Linked DNA regions of Mus musculus: region 2 is reported to be linked to region 1. The links are microRNA targets in miRTarBase. Many come from high-throughput screens and were not tested one by one. Region 1 holds a microRNA gene; the other region holds the end of a gene's coding sequence.

The links. Region 1 holds the annotated microRNA mmu-miR-26a-5p (UUCAAGUAAUCCAGGAUAGGCU, at 4,256-4,277, opposite strand). A microRNA usually pairs through its seed, bases 2 to 8, with sites in the 3' UTR of a target mRNA and lowers its output. Matches are read on the target gene's strand: a 7mer-m8 pairs with bases 2 to 8, a 7mer-A1 pairs with bases 2 to 7 and ends in A, and an 8mer does both.
Region 2: miRTarBase lists Srcin1 as a target of mmu-miR-26a-5p. The part of its 3' UTR that is shown has no 7-base or 8-base seed match.

The regions. Positions count from the first base shown.
Region 1 is chr10:126,992,703-126,999,819 of GRCm38, reverse strand. It overlaps Mir26a-2 (microRNA 26a-2), which reads right to left and starts at 4,290; the gene lies at 4,207-4,290. It overlaps Ctdsp2 (CTD (carboxy-terminal domain, RNA polymerase II, polypeptide A) small phosphatase 2), which reads right to left. Exons shown (of 8, transcript NM_001113470.1): 4 at 6,711-6,812; 5 at 5,912-5,968; 6 at 3,873-3,965; 7 at 3,609-3,794; 8 at 1-3,459. The coding sequence ends at 3,334. It overlaps Mir546 (microRNA 546), which reads right to left and starts at 1,380; the gene lies at 1,260-1,380.
Region 2 is chr11:97,505,886-97,513,002 of GRCm38, reverse strand. Srcin1 (SRC kinase signaling inhibitor 1) reads left to right here. Exons shown (of 20, transcript NM_018873.2): 20 at 355-3,663. The coding sequence ends at 489. Among named protein-coding and RNA genes, the nearest start is that of 4933428G20Rik, 9.1 kb to the right of the region's middle.

The DNA.
Region 1 (7,117 bases):
TCACAGTGGGAAGCAGACCTCTCCCCTCCAAATGGCATCACGGGAATAGCCAGATCCGGGGTAAGGACAGGCATGGAGAATCACCAGCTTATGGTGCAGGGCAGTTCTGGGAGCTAACCCCGAACTAAAGGATGGGGCAGCTGGCCTGACCTGTGACCTCTTCTCCCCTGAACATGGACTTATCTGTTTTCTAGAAAGAGGGACTGGGGATGTAGCTTAGTTGGGAGTGTGTGCCTGACATGCACGAAGCCCTGGGTTGTCCCCAGCACCTCACAAGCCAGCAAGGTGATCACACCTGTAACCCCAGCACTCAGGGGGTGGAGGCAGGAGACCAGCGATCACCTGTAACCCCAGCACTCAGGAGGTGGAGGCAGGAGACCAGCGATCACCTGTAACCCCAGCACTCAGGAGGTGGAGGCAGGAGACCAGCTATCACCTGTAACCCCAGCACTCAGGGGGTGGAGGCAGGAGACCAGCTCAAGATCACTCTTGGCTAAACAGGAGTTCAAACCCGTTTTTAAAAAAGGAGTAGCCGTGGTTTGGAAATTCATCAAACCGTGTGTGTGTGTGTGTGTGTAGGGGAGAACTAGGACATTTTTAAAAAAGGAGTAGCCGTGGTTAAGTAGCCCAAAGGGGAAACAGCTCACCGTTTTCACTTAGCCAGGCCAACACACTGGATGCAGGACAGCACAAACAGGCCACACTGCCAAGAGGCCTCTGAACAGAGCAGGTCATGGACCTATAAGGGACCCATCTCCCAGGAATGGTTGCTGTGAGGGTCCCATGCTTTTAGTACAAAGCTTTTCTGAGCCACTGTTAACAGGGGGAGGGGGGTTATACAATTATACAAAAATCTTTGGGAGGGAGTGAGATAGGTCCCTGGTTGAACGAAGGCAAATTCACTCAACTTCTTTAATTAGGGACCCATGGGCCTTCGGTGTCCCCTCTACAATGTGCAGAGTGGAAACCCTTACCTGGCCCTTTATCAAACTGGTCCTGTGTCCAAAGCTCCCCCTATAAGAGGGACAGGAACGTCAGGCTTTTGATGCGAAGCCCAATCAGACACACACTGTGTCCCTGAAGAGGCACCTTAAAGAGCTGAACCCGGCAGGGGGCAGATTCCTAGCATGGCTTGGAGTGGATGCTGACACCTGGTCCGGTGGTCTACTGACTCCTGAAGACCAGTCTGCACTGGGGCAGGCGGGCTGGTGGCAGTGGAGCAAGGGCTTCAGGAGGCACTGGCTCCTCTCACTTGCCCTCCTCTCCTCCCCAGTATCACTTTGCTTCTAAAACATGGAACTAGCACAGGGATAGCAAGAGACAACATCTAGCTGACTCCGTGCCACCATGATAGATCCTGTTTAGTTTTGGGAAGAGAGGAGTTGATATGGCATCTTTGTGGCAGACTGCAGGTGGTAAGAGGACTCTGGTGGCAGTCAGGCCTAGAGAGCTGGGGTTTCATGGAGAAGTAACAGGGCTCCCATGAAGCCACACTGGGCTTTGGTCACATGGAGAACCAAGAAGCCAGAAAGGGACCTTAAAATTCAATCAACTCTGAGGCTCTTATTGCTTAGTCAAGACCAGCCCTCAGAGCTTTGTGAGAAGACCCCTCCTGCAGTATTGGGATGCCAGTGAGATCAGGGTCTGGACCTGAAGCCACAGTCAAGCTCCCATGTTCCTGGCTAGCACCTGCAGCCCTCAGCTCACCTTGGGAGGACCCTACAGACACCAGCAAATGAGGCTGGGGAAATGGCATGTGTTTGTCACAGAAGTGAAAGCCAAGGCTCCATAGCCTCGGGCCCAGGAAGAAGTCTGCAGAGTGCTGGAGGAATGCCAGCCAGTCTCCACTCACACCACCACACTCCTCCACCAGGCTTTCTCAAACCCCAGGCAGGACCTCGTGTGTGGAAACTAGAAAAATTTGAAAATATTGACTCCTGAGTGGGAGGTACCACACCTGAACCAACCCACAAACGCTGGCCGGCCTCCAGGGGAAGCAGAGATGGGGTAGGAACTCCCGCCCACCTCGGAGGGAGGCAGGGAGTGGGCGGGACTCACTTAAGGCAGTGAGGTGGAGGCCCCTCAGGGGCCCCTTGTGTTCCCAATGGTAGCTTTCCACTTTGGGGAAACTTCCACTCTGTGACTGACATTGAAAGCAACAGGGCTGAGAGCTCAGAGCTGCCCAGAGCACAGAGCTATGAGGACCTCACTCAGTCCTATAACGAGAAGCAGGAGGCATTTGGCAAATCAAGTAAGAGCAACACTTGGGACAACCAATCAATTAAGTACAACCGGGGAAAGTCCTTCTCCCAAGGCTCTGGAGAGGAAGAGCAGCAGCCGAGAAGGATAAAGGCGAGAGCAGACGAGAGCTGGCCAGGGCGGGACACCAGGAAGACACAGAGGGAGAGCCAAGCCCTCCCCAGCCTTTGGAGCTAATGTCCTTGCATCAGCTAGCACAGAACCCCTGAAGAGCACTTTTGGGATCTACACGCAAGGAGACAGACATCTTGCATTGAACATTTGCATTTTCTTTGTACCCCAGCGCTTCCCACACAAACCTCAGGCCCAGGACTGGAGCTCGGGCGAATATAAACCACTCCAAGTTTAGAAAGAGATTTTTAAGAGTTAAAAGAACAGAAATCAGCTATATGTCCTCCTCCAGGGCAGAGAGAAGACCTCCTTTCCCATGGGAGTAGGACTATGGCTTGGGAGTGAGAGGCTGGCCTGGCACTGGAGCCCGGGTACAGAGAAGTGCCCATGGCAGGCATTCTTGCTGGAGCCAGGTGTAGCCCATAGGACACAGAACCTGGTGGGTCTGCGAACATGCTCTCATATTCCCAAACATGTCTGCAGCTGCTGGCTAGGTTTCTGTGTTTTCTGAAAGATGTGTGTCTGGGCATCCAAAGCAGCCTCCGGCCTCTCCCTTCTCCTTGGCACAGGTCTTGATGCTGAGGGAAAGCCATGGTTTGGCGAGGGAGCCTACAATAGTTTTCATGGCTGTAAAGCTCAGTAGCTCACAGCATAGCAGGAAAGAAGACAAATGACTTGGGTTGAGTCCTTATCTTTCAGCTTCTCCCCCTACTGCACAACTGGGCACCCAGGACCATAGTTTACCGGACGGGCACATGCACGCACACACACCCACACAACCACCTGGGAACTGAGCACGGGGTGCAGAGAGCTCTGGGTCTTGGTCTGATTTCCTGCTCTGCGTGTGACCTGCTTTTGTCCCACACGCCCTGGCTACTTGCAGACCCCGTCAGTGAGGCTGACCACAAAGGCACAGTGTAGCAGAGTCCCCTGTTGGGATGGCCGTTTCTTGGAGCAGGAAGGCTAAGGGGCCCGCAGCTGCCCAAGGCTGGTGTAGACATCATCAGTTCCACTTAGCTCCTCGAAGACTGGAATCAGGTTCAGCAACTCTGTATCTGCCATGTCATCAAACCAGGACTGCACAGGCACCTGGGGCAGGAAAAAGTGACATTATCTGATATTTCCTTTCCTTTCCAGTGCCATTGGAGGCTGCTGGGCCACACAGGGGTTGTGGACTCCTCTGATAAAGCCCACGGGCCCAGCCTGCAGCCACCCCAGTCCCTGATGCGAGCACTCACTGCATTTTCTGGGTGGAAGATGTAAGATGCAGGGGAGTTGTCCAGGATGACAGTTTTCCTCAGGTCCCTTCCCAGGCGGCTGAGGTCCTTGACATAGCAGCCCTGGTGGAACACACAAGCCTCTCGGAACAGGCGGGCCCGGAACACCCCGCACCGGTCCAGGAGATCAGTCACAGGGTCAGCATACTGGAAAAGAAGGAGAAGCTTTAGCCTAGGCTGAGGGCTGGCTCTCCCCTGCCTTCTGCCCCTCCTGCAGTCAGGTACCTTGGCCAAGCTGGCAGTGAAGAGAACACATTCGAAGAGCTCCCCCATCCGTCTCAGGAACTCATCGACGTAAGGCCTCTTGAGCACATATACCTGGGAGACAGAGTGGATTGCTGTAGGAACCCCACAAGGCCAAGGACACAGCACCGGCTCTGCCTGTGCACTGACAGAAAAGCAAGCAGGCCTAGATACCCAGGTCGAGACACTGAGACCTCTGCCCCACCATGGACAGCTCTACCATGTTACCAGGCTTCTGCTGCCTCAACAGGCCCAACCCTAACCCGGCAGGAAGGAATGCACTCCCAGGAGCCATCTTCATTGAGGGCAGACCATGCGCTGCCTCCAGAAACAAGTAATCAAGAACAGGCCTCATGGACGGACACAGCCTATCCTGGATTACTTGAATCCAGCCGCAGCCTCCACAGTAGCCTTCTGTACGGGATTCCAGCAGGACGGCTTGTGTAGGTCCCATCTGGCAAGAACCACAAACTTCTTCAAACACACACCCTCGTAGGTTTGTGTGCACACCACCAGCTTCGAGGACTTGCTCGCTTTTAAAGGTTCTTCAACTAACTCGCCACCCAGTCTATGATCTGCTGCTTCTTCTTTCTTTCTTACTTCAGCCTGCACAAGTGTTCCTTAGGCCCACTCACTCACTTCCTTAAAGCAGCACAGGGGGTGTGCCCACCCCAGTCCCTCCTAGCCCACATCAGCACCAACTGAGCAGAGCCCTCCCATTTAGCAGCAGAACCCTCCATGCAGCTGCAAATGGATCTATCCATCACCTTCCACTTCTTAAGCCTCACAAACAAGCCCCTTCCTCACCAAGCATTGCTCTCCTCCCAGGCTCTCCTCAGATCCACATGGCAGGCAGCCCTCTCACTCAGGCCCCTTCTGCCCATGCCAGAGCCCCATACATTCTGTACATTTCTATTTCCTCAACTAGACAGCAGGGGGTGATGGGTGGAGTAAAGAGCCACAGCTTCGAGGCTCTGTACAGAAGTTCGTAAAGGGGCAGAGGGCTACGATGACAAACCCAGGACAGTCTCAAGCTGAACTTTCTCAGTCTGAAAACAGGTCTCATGCTTGCTAGGATGTCTGCATCACTGTCTCCGGCCCTCCCCTGGGCCGACCAGCATGCCTCTGGGCACATGGTCTCTCACCAATGCCTCGTGGTCCTTAACCCTAGGCAGCAGGGTGTACACGGCAGAGCCTGGACTCTGCCACTCTGACAGATGCATATGGAGCACTTACAGAAACCAGTGTAGAGGTCAGAAAGGTGTCATAGGAGGGGCCTGGGCCAGGGAAGACACATTCAGTAGCTCTTCACCAGAGGGCACAGGAGCAAATCCTAACAGCCCTGCACACAGAGCAAGGCTCGCCTGGTCTAAGCATGGACTGCATGGGCTGGACAGCATATGCTCTTCATTGAGGAGCTGGGTTCAATTCCCAGCAACCCCTGGCAGCTCACAACTGTAACTCTGGTTCCAGGGGATTCGACACCCTCACACAGACACACACGCAGGCAAAACCAGTAATGCACATTTAAAAAGCCACAGTGATGGCTAGGACTATGATGTGAAAATGCCAGGGGCTGCACACAATGGTGAAGGCCTTTAATTAACTCCAGCCCTCTGTGAGGTCCAAGTCAGCTAGAATTAAATAAAGAGACCCTATCCTGGGCTGGAGAGATGGCTCAGTGGTTAAGAGCATTGACTGCTCTTCTGAGGTCCTGAGTTCAAATCCCAGCAACCACATGGTGGCTCACAACCATCTCTAATGGAATCCAATGCCCTCTTCTGGTGTGTCTGAATACAGTTAAGTGTACTCATATACATAAAACAAATAATTCTTTAAAAATATTTTTAAAAAAGCCAACAGTTCTTGCAAACAGCCTGACTACATAGAGACAGGAGTGTTGGCTAGAGGGAAGTGTGGATGATCTGGAGACAAGCCATCAACAAACATGGAAGCTGATGATAAACAGGTTGAGAGGCAGTTTCCCTTTGAGGCAGGGTGTATGCTGGCAAACAGCTCACCTGGTGCGTGGTCCCCTCAATCTCTACAGGCACTATGAAGTCAGCATTGTTGATCGGCTAGAAGGCAGAAGTGCACAGTGTCAGCAGACAGGAAACCCTACCCCCTGGAGACAGCCCACTGAGCAGTTCTTAGCCAGCACAGGGCAAAAAGTATCACATATTTTCCGGTTTCCCTTCTCCTTCATCCACCCATCCATCCTACCCACCAAATTCTACCTGAGGTAAGTTTCAGGGCTTTTGAGATGGGGTCTTGCTACATAGTCTGGGCTAGCCTTCACCTCCTGCTCTCATGAGCTATGCACACAGGCATGCATGCCTGGCTCTTTGGGCTAGCCGTGTTCATCTCCTGTTTCCGTGAGCTATGCACACAAGCATGCATGCCTGGCTCTTTCAAGACTGACTGGCTCTTACTGGGTAACTCATGTTATTCTGGAACTTGTGATTTCCCTGCCTCAGTTTCCCAAGCACAGGGATTGTGGAAGTTCCCTCTGCACCCAACTTAAGGCTTTCTTGAGTTAACAAACGCACCAGTCAGGAAAACCAGATAATGCTTACCTACTTTTTCCACGGTAAGTCGAGACAGACACAGCATTTAGGGTGGGGTGTGTGTGTGTGTGTGTGTGTGTGTGTGTGTGTGTGTGTGTGCCTTAACCTCTTCAGTTTGGCCTCTGGGTATCTGTGACTCCAGGGTGGCCGACAGCCTGTCCTGTCCCTGTCATTTCCACGTTCATCTGCTCACCTTACTGACCCTGCTGTGCGGCTCACACAGGCCCAAGGGAAGGGTACCACGCTGACTCACCTTAAAGGAACTGTGCACAAGGGTCTCATCCAGGTCAATGACCACGCAGATCCTGCCTTGATCTTGCTCTGTCACCTCGGGGAGCAGGCAGGTCCCAGGGATCTAAAAGCAGAGCCAAGCTGCTGAGCTGTGCCCAACAAGAAGTAAGCCCAATCGCCCCTCAGCACAACACTGGGAAGAGCCAAGCTGCCTGCAGACAGTCATCAACACAGGAAGGTCCTGCTTAAAAGCAGAGAGCAGAGGCAGCGGGGTCTAAAGACTACTAAGGCTGTGGGAACATTTGGTGTCATTCTGGGATGGTAGGGAGTAGACAGCAGAGATGGGAAGAGGGTGTGTGCCTGTCCCGAAAGTTTTACAGGGCCCTGGCAAATACTCAGCACAAAGAGTGGGGAGGTGCTCAGGACAGG
Region 2 (7,117 bases), not on the chromosome of region 1:
TCCCCTCTGCCTGTCCTGGGCTGGGTCTCTCTGGTGTCTCTTCTGTCTTCTGTCTTTCCTCTCTCAGTAACCATGGACTGAACCCCCCCTCCCCACTCTGCTTTCCAGGCCTTTGATCCAACCCCATGGCTCCCCTCAACCTTCTTTGTGCCCTGACGACACACTTCCCCACCCTGTCCCCCCCAGTTCAGAGGAGCACTCTCTCCAGCTGCCCCGCCCCCTCTGGTTCTCGCTTTTGCAGTTAATTGTCTCTTGGACTTGTGGAGTTTCCCCATTTTTCAACACTTCAGCCAGGAGCCAGCATGAAGGCTCTCCTTTGCTCTCTCTGACCCCTGACCCCTGTTTTTGTTCCAGGCCACTAAACCATCTAAAGAGGTGAGCGGTCCGAATGAGACCTCAAGCCCCGGCTCAGAAAAGCCCTCTGGTTCCAGAACCTCCATCCCTGTATTGACTTCCTTTGGGGCAAGGAATTCTTCCATCTCCTTCTAGAAGCCCCTCATGCCACCACCCCAGCCCGCCCCTCCCATACTCCCGCCATCCGTCCCTCCTTCCTTTCATGCCCGCTCTACCCTGCCCACTCTCACGCCTGAAAGGTTGCAGGGGGCATGGCCCTTTGCCCTCTCATCTCCTCTTGGTGTTTTTGGTTTTTTAAGCGATTTCCTTTAATTATCTTTCTTTTCCTTTTTTTCTTTTTTAAAGAGCAAATGAGAAAGCTAAAAACCAAACACACCAACTTCCCCTGACTTCCGGTTCCCTAGCGGCCTCTGCTCCGCCCACTTCCTGTCATCTTCTTCCCCTCTGCTCTTTCACCCTCCTCCCCTCCCCTCCCCCCAAGTCCATCCAAAGTTCCCACCTCCTCTAACTTCCCAAGAACACTTGGAACAAACTCTGAGCCACGGAGACTTGGAGCGGAGCGAGGCCCCCCTCCCGTTACTGGGTTCCTTCCTGGAGGAACAGATGGACAAGGACTGACCCAGCATCAGGCTGGACAATGGACAAGGGAGACCCTGGCCTTGGAGACGCCCACTGTCTGTCCAGCCTTCGAAGAGACAGAACTCTGCTGCTGGCCTGTGGTTTTTCTTTCAAACCAGGGTGGGCCTGGAAGCAGGCCTAGCTGGAGGGGATCCCCAGAGAAGAGGCCAAGGCTGGGTGTGAGGAGGGAAAGGGGGGACACTAGGTGCCAGGGGAGAAGCCGGCTCGCTGCTGCTCAGTGTCCGGCTGGTGCTAGCAACAGATGGAAGGAGGTCTCCAGGACACCTGTTATGGAAGGTGCTTCTGGGGACAGCCTGCCCCTGGGGATCTGCCTTGGGAGAGGGCAGTTCTGAGAGGGGCATCTGGTACTTTTAGTTCCCTAATTTAGCACTTTAAATGCCATTAACTTATTTTATGGGGGTGGGGTGGGGAAGATGGAAGGGCCTAGAAACATGTTTGGAGGGTGGGAAGGGTCTGGTTTGAGGGATACAGGGAGACGGGACGGGTGGGTGCAGTAAAGTCTCTGACCCCTAGAGGGCGCAACTTGACCTTCAGCCAGCCTCTATGATTTGAGGGTTTTCAGGGAAGGCATGAGATGCGACGACTTGCCGGTGGGGATCTGGTGACCACTTGTCAGGTGTTTGAGGGTCCCCAAGGCAGAAGAGCCAGTTAGTACTCCAGTCTGGATACCTTGCAGGGGTCCTGCACAGGACAGACTGGCTTTGAATGGGTCCAGGAGTCTAAGGGAGAGGCTGACTTGGTTCTGGCCTGGCCCCCAGCCGCTACAGTGGGGCCAGAGCAAGAAGGAAGAAGATCGGGAAGGTGGAGGGGCTTCCCTTTGGAGCACAAAGCATGTAAGCACAGAGGTGTGGTCTTGGGACCAGTCCCACAGTAGCACAGAGAGGAGCCATTGAAGGGACAGAACCCCAGGACCCTGGCGCCCAGCAGGGGAAAGCCAAGCGGCAGCTGTTGAGGGTTTGGGTTGGGAGGGAAAACTGGGTTGTGTTTCCTTTCTTTGATTTTGTTTATTTTTATTTCTATTTTTGTTTTGTTAGTTTGCTCTTGTTTTCTAGCTTTGGGTCATTTTTGTACTAAGGCAAGCAAGCCTTTTTGAAAAATAACAAAAGAAGAAGAAAAAAATCCCTCCCAGAAAAAAAAACAAAAACAAAAAACAAAACAAAAAACAAAAAAACCTAAAAAAAATAGAAAAAAAAAAAGGACCTCACAATGATGCAATTACTTTTAATTGCAAGCAACTCTTTACATTTAAGTGAAGTGTCTTAACATTTTATATTGTTTTAAAAATATATTTACATATTATATATATATAATATACGTAATATAAATATATATAAATATTTAAAAAAGAAAAAAAAAAAAAGAAAACCACAGCACACTCTCCCTGGCCACTGTCTGGCAGGGGAGGGGCTGGGGACAGGCGTGTGGCCTGGTTTCTGTAGTCCCTGTGGAGCAGTTTGGTTTGATTTGGCTGTACAGAGACCCCTGGCTTGGGAGGGGAGGGGGAGGGGCCCCTCCACTCCATTTCTCTTTGCTTGCTACTCTTTGCTTGCCCCCACACCCGCTCAGCCCTGAGACCTGAGTGTGCGCCCCTCCGTCATTGTCCTGAGTTGAGTGTCCTTTGTGGAGAGACAGGGAGGTGGAAGAAGTGACTATTCATGCAGGGGCTGCCCCACGAGCTCAGGCAAGGCCCCCGTGGGCTTTGCGTAGTTCTAGTTCTTCAATTTGGTTACTGCGCGAGTGTGTCCTGGAAGGAATTTGTATGGGATTGTGTGCAGCCTCTGTGTGTGTGTGCACACGCTGGCACAAGCCTACATAACTTGTGTGTGCACATGCATGGGTTGTGTGTGCATAGGCAAAACGTGATATTGTATGTGTGAAGCCTTGTACATGTATGTGAATGTGACCTGCCTGGTATCAACATGATTGTGTGAGGAGAGCCTTGGGAGTAAGGACGTGTGTGATGTGTGTGGACACGCCTGGCTGTTCACGTGAGGACCACATAGGGATGGGTTTAGATAACGTCAGCTGTGGGTATGGTTGTATGCAGGTGCAGGCAGGCGTGTGAGAGGGTCTCTGTGTGTGAGAGTACTCGTGTGCATGTGTGTGTTCCATCATCCCTGCACCACTCGCCCGGCACCCCTCCCAAGCTCCCCACCCCACCTGTCTTCTCAAAGCCCACAGCACGTCAATCCCCGCCCCCACCCCCAGCTGCATGCGCCTCGCCGCTATCCATCAGTGTGTGCTTGACAAGAGAAACTGCCACATCGGGGGACCCTGTACCTGGTCCCCTCACCCCTGCCCGCTGTGCTGTGATACTCGCATGGGGGGTTCTCTCTGGCCCCTTCCACAATATACTCTTTTCCCCAGGGGCCTCGGGCAAAGGCTCTGAGTGAGGTCCCAAGTGGGGCCCCCCAAGGCCAGCCCGGCTCCACACCCACCCGTCCACCCTGTAGGGCCTGTGTTGGTGTAGAAGTGATGGCGTCTGTGGATATTGTGACCTCTGTCAGTGTAAATTGACGATTTCTAAATGGAAAGGGTTGCTGTGTTTTCTGTCTCCTTTTTAATGTCCTTTCTCTCTTCCCCACCTCCCCGCTCTCTTCCCGTCCCTTTTGGTTTTTCTAGCCGAGTGTTGGGGCTTTAATAAAACTTGTTTCTTTTTTCTCTCCTGGATCTTCTTCCTGTGGGCTGTGCCTCGTTATTTCACTGGGGCATGGAAGGAAGTGGGGTGAAGAGCAGAGGGGTGGGGACTCTGAAGCCAGCATGCCCTGAGTTAGAGGGCATGGCACAGAGAAGGGACAGACAGGGCAGGAAGCACTTGATTCCTGCTACCATGGGGAAGGACACTGCAAGCGCCTTTTTTTTTTTTTTTTTTTTTTAATTTTGAGACAGGGTTTCTCTGTGTAGCCCTGGCTGTCCTGGAACTGGCTCTGTAGACCAGGCTGGCCTTGGCTCAGAGATCCACTACCTTCCTCTACATTCCCGGTGTGGGATTAGAGGCATGTGTTACCATGCCCAGCTAACTCCACTAATTCCAAAGAGTCAGCTTCAGGCTGGATGTCACAGAAGAGACCGCCAGTGAGTTAGATCCTGGGCATCTTTCCTGTGTCACAGAACCAGAGATCTCTAAACTCACAGTTTGGATTCAGCTCCGCCTGGCCCCAGTGCCCAGCTCTTGATGGTCAGATTACCTGGAGCGCTGCCTTGTTGGGTTCCATCCTCTGGCCCACTGGGAGGGATAAGCCCTGATGTATACTCCATCACTTTCAGACTCCTGGAACTAACGGAAACTTACATGAAATACATGAAACAGATGTGCAGTGAAATGTACCTGCTACCCACAGTGTGCAGGGCACGGGCCAGATGTCCCACTCAGGGTTTCAGAAAGCCTCAATTCAAGAATTCTGAAGGTCTTGCTTGCCACAGTTCCCACTCCTTCTGTCTTTGAGACTTCCTATATTCTTGGCTGAGTTACCAGATCTACCCGTCTGTCCTTGGTCACCTCTGTCCCATGGGGAGGCAGGGTCCTGAAAGTACACACTCCCAGCCATTTTTGGAATCCTTAGCATCATTCTCTAACAGTCACCAGCACACCTGCTCACCGCTGCATGAGTCACCTCCAGCCATTGCCCTGAGTCAGACCTCAGTCTACCTAGAGGCTACTCATGTGACTTTGAGAATGTCAGCAGGTCGTTGTCAATTTCCTGTAGTATTCCTGGAAAACAAGAGAGCAGCCAACCCCCTCCTCCTTACCCCCTCCCCTGACATTTTTAAAACAGAGAACAAACATAGCATCACCTGCATGCCAGAGATCATGCCAGGCACAACCCTCACCCTCCGAGTGACTCCCGAATAGATCTCCTTGCTGCTGTGCCTAGGTAACCCCGGGGCCAACTGTAGCCTGTGGCAGAGGAGCCAGCCAGGAAATGGGGGGCGAGTGTCTACAAACTGGTTGGCAGCAAGCACTGGGACAAAGAGACAGCACTGTAAATATGGTGGCGATGCGCAATGTGGACCTGCCTTGGATGGCCGGGCCCTGGGGTCCCCTGAGTGGAGACCATAAGTATGAGGACTGGAAGGGCTGGGGGGATGACTCTCAATAGTGTGCCTGCCATACAAGCATAAAGACCAGTGTTTGGATTTCCACCACCCACATAAAACCCAGGCATAATGGTTCAGGTCTGTGACCCTAGGGTAGGAGGAGGGTGTTGAGGACAGGTCCTCAGAGCTCACTGGCCAGCCAGGTTATCCAACAGGTAAACTCCAGGTTCAGTGAGAGACCCTGGTTAGCAATCGAAGACACATACTTCCGGCCTCCATATATGTGTGCTCACGCACACACCCAGAATACTAACACAGAGCTTTAAAGATTGATTTTAAACTTCCCAATAATGGTGAATCAGTCGGAAGCCAGCCTGATATACATAGCTAGTTCCAGACTGCCAGGGTTACATAGTGAGACCCTGTCATCATCAACAACAACAAAAAGAGGGGTGGAGTTGGGAGTGGGACATAAGCCTGTAAGCCCAGCATTGGGAATGCAGCAGCAGAACGTTTAGGAACTAAAGTAAGATTGAGCAGGCTGGAGAGATGGCTCAGCGGTTAGGAGCACTGACTGCTCTTCCAGAGGTCCTGAGTTCAATTCCCAACACCACATGCTGGCTCCAACCATCCGTAATGGGATCTGATGCCCTCTTCTGGTGTGTCTAAAGACAGCTATAGTGAACTCATATAAATAAATAACTCCTTAAAAAAGGAAAGATTAAGCAAGATCGTGAATTTGAGGCTAGCCTGGGATATACAAGCATCTGGAGGATCAGGAATGTGTGCTAAGGCAGGGTGATCTAGAGCCAGTCTGGATTAGAGAGAGAGAGAGAGAGACCTTTTCCCTCCTGATAAATGAAAGTCAGACGTGGCTCACACCTGTAATCCTTGCTCTGATGCAGGAAGCATCCTTGAGTCAGCTTAGGCTATGTTGTGGGACTCTGTCTTAACAAAACCAACCAACCCAACAACAGCAACAACAACAGCAAAAATAGGAGGACTCCCTCTCTGGAGCTGGTTACAGAGGCCAAAGGCAGGGCTAAGGGTGAAAGGAAAGAACTAGGAAAACCCAAGTAGCTCAAGGAGAGACAGCTGGGGGTGGGGTGGGGGGTGGGAGGTGGGAGACAGGGACAGGGATGGGGAGGGGGATGGGCAAGCTCAGGGGCCAAGAACAGGAAACTGTGTGTCTTCTAGGAGCTGTGGCAGTGCTGGGAAGGTTTCTTACCTTTTTACATTTTATATTTAATTGTGTAGGAGTTTGCATATGAGTGAAGGTTTCTGAGGAGGCCAGAGGAGGGGTCTTGGATCTCTGCTATCTGATGTGGGTGCTGGGAACCGAATGCTGCCCCTGTGCAGGGCCGATATGATAAGCCCTTTGCTAGGCAAGCGTCCAAGACCTTCCCAGGTGCAGAGCTGCTTCTCCGCGGCAGCTTTCACGGTTGTGGGTGCCAATGAATGAATGAGGAGATTGAAGTATCAGGGTCTTGGCAATGGCACCACATGATGGTCCAGAAGGAAACCTAGGACTCCCTCCAGTGGTCGCATTAGTTGAGCCAGGTAGCCATGATCCGGTCCCTGCCTATGACAGGAAAGTGGTATGTGTGTGTGTTGGGGGAGAGGGGGGCTACTCCTCTCCCTCAACACTAATTTTTCCTAAAGAAACATTTCTCAGGAAACAGCAAACTTTATTACAGGGGTGCAAGGTTGGAGTGCGGCTTGCTTGCCTGCCTTTAGAACTCGCTCAGATGTGTTTTCTACGCCATAAAATTCCCATCTAACATCCACAGCCCAGTGGGCTTTAGTTTGTGGATGTGCATCCAGCACCACATTCTAATTTTAGAATATTTTCAACACCCACAAAAAAAAACCCTGATCCCCTCCCCCCAACTATCATCACCCATTTCAGCTCCTTCCTCTGTGACACCCCATCCCTGGGGAATTACTCATCTCCTTCCCCTGTGGGGATCCCCCAGAATTTACCCAGGGATGGAACCACACAGCATCCTGGCTTCTTTTCTGCCAGCCGTGTTAGCAAAGTCAGCTGTGATAAAGCATGCAGGCGAGCTGCCTTCCTTCCTAGGAT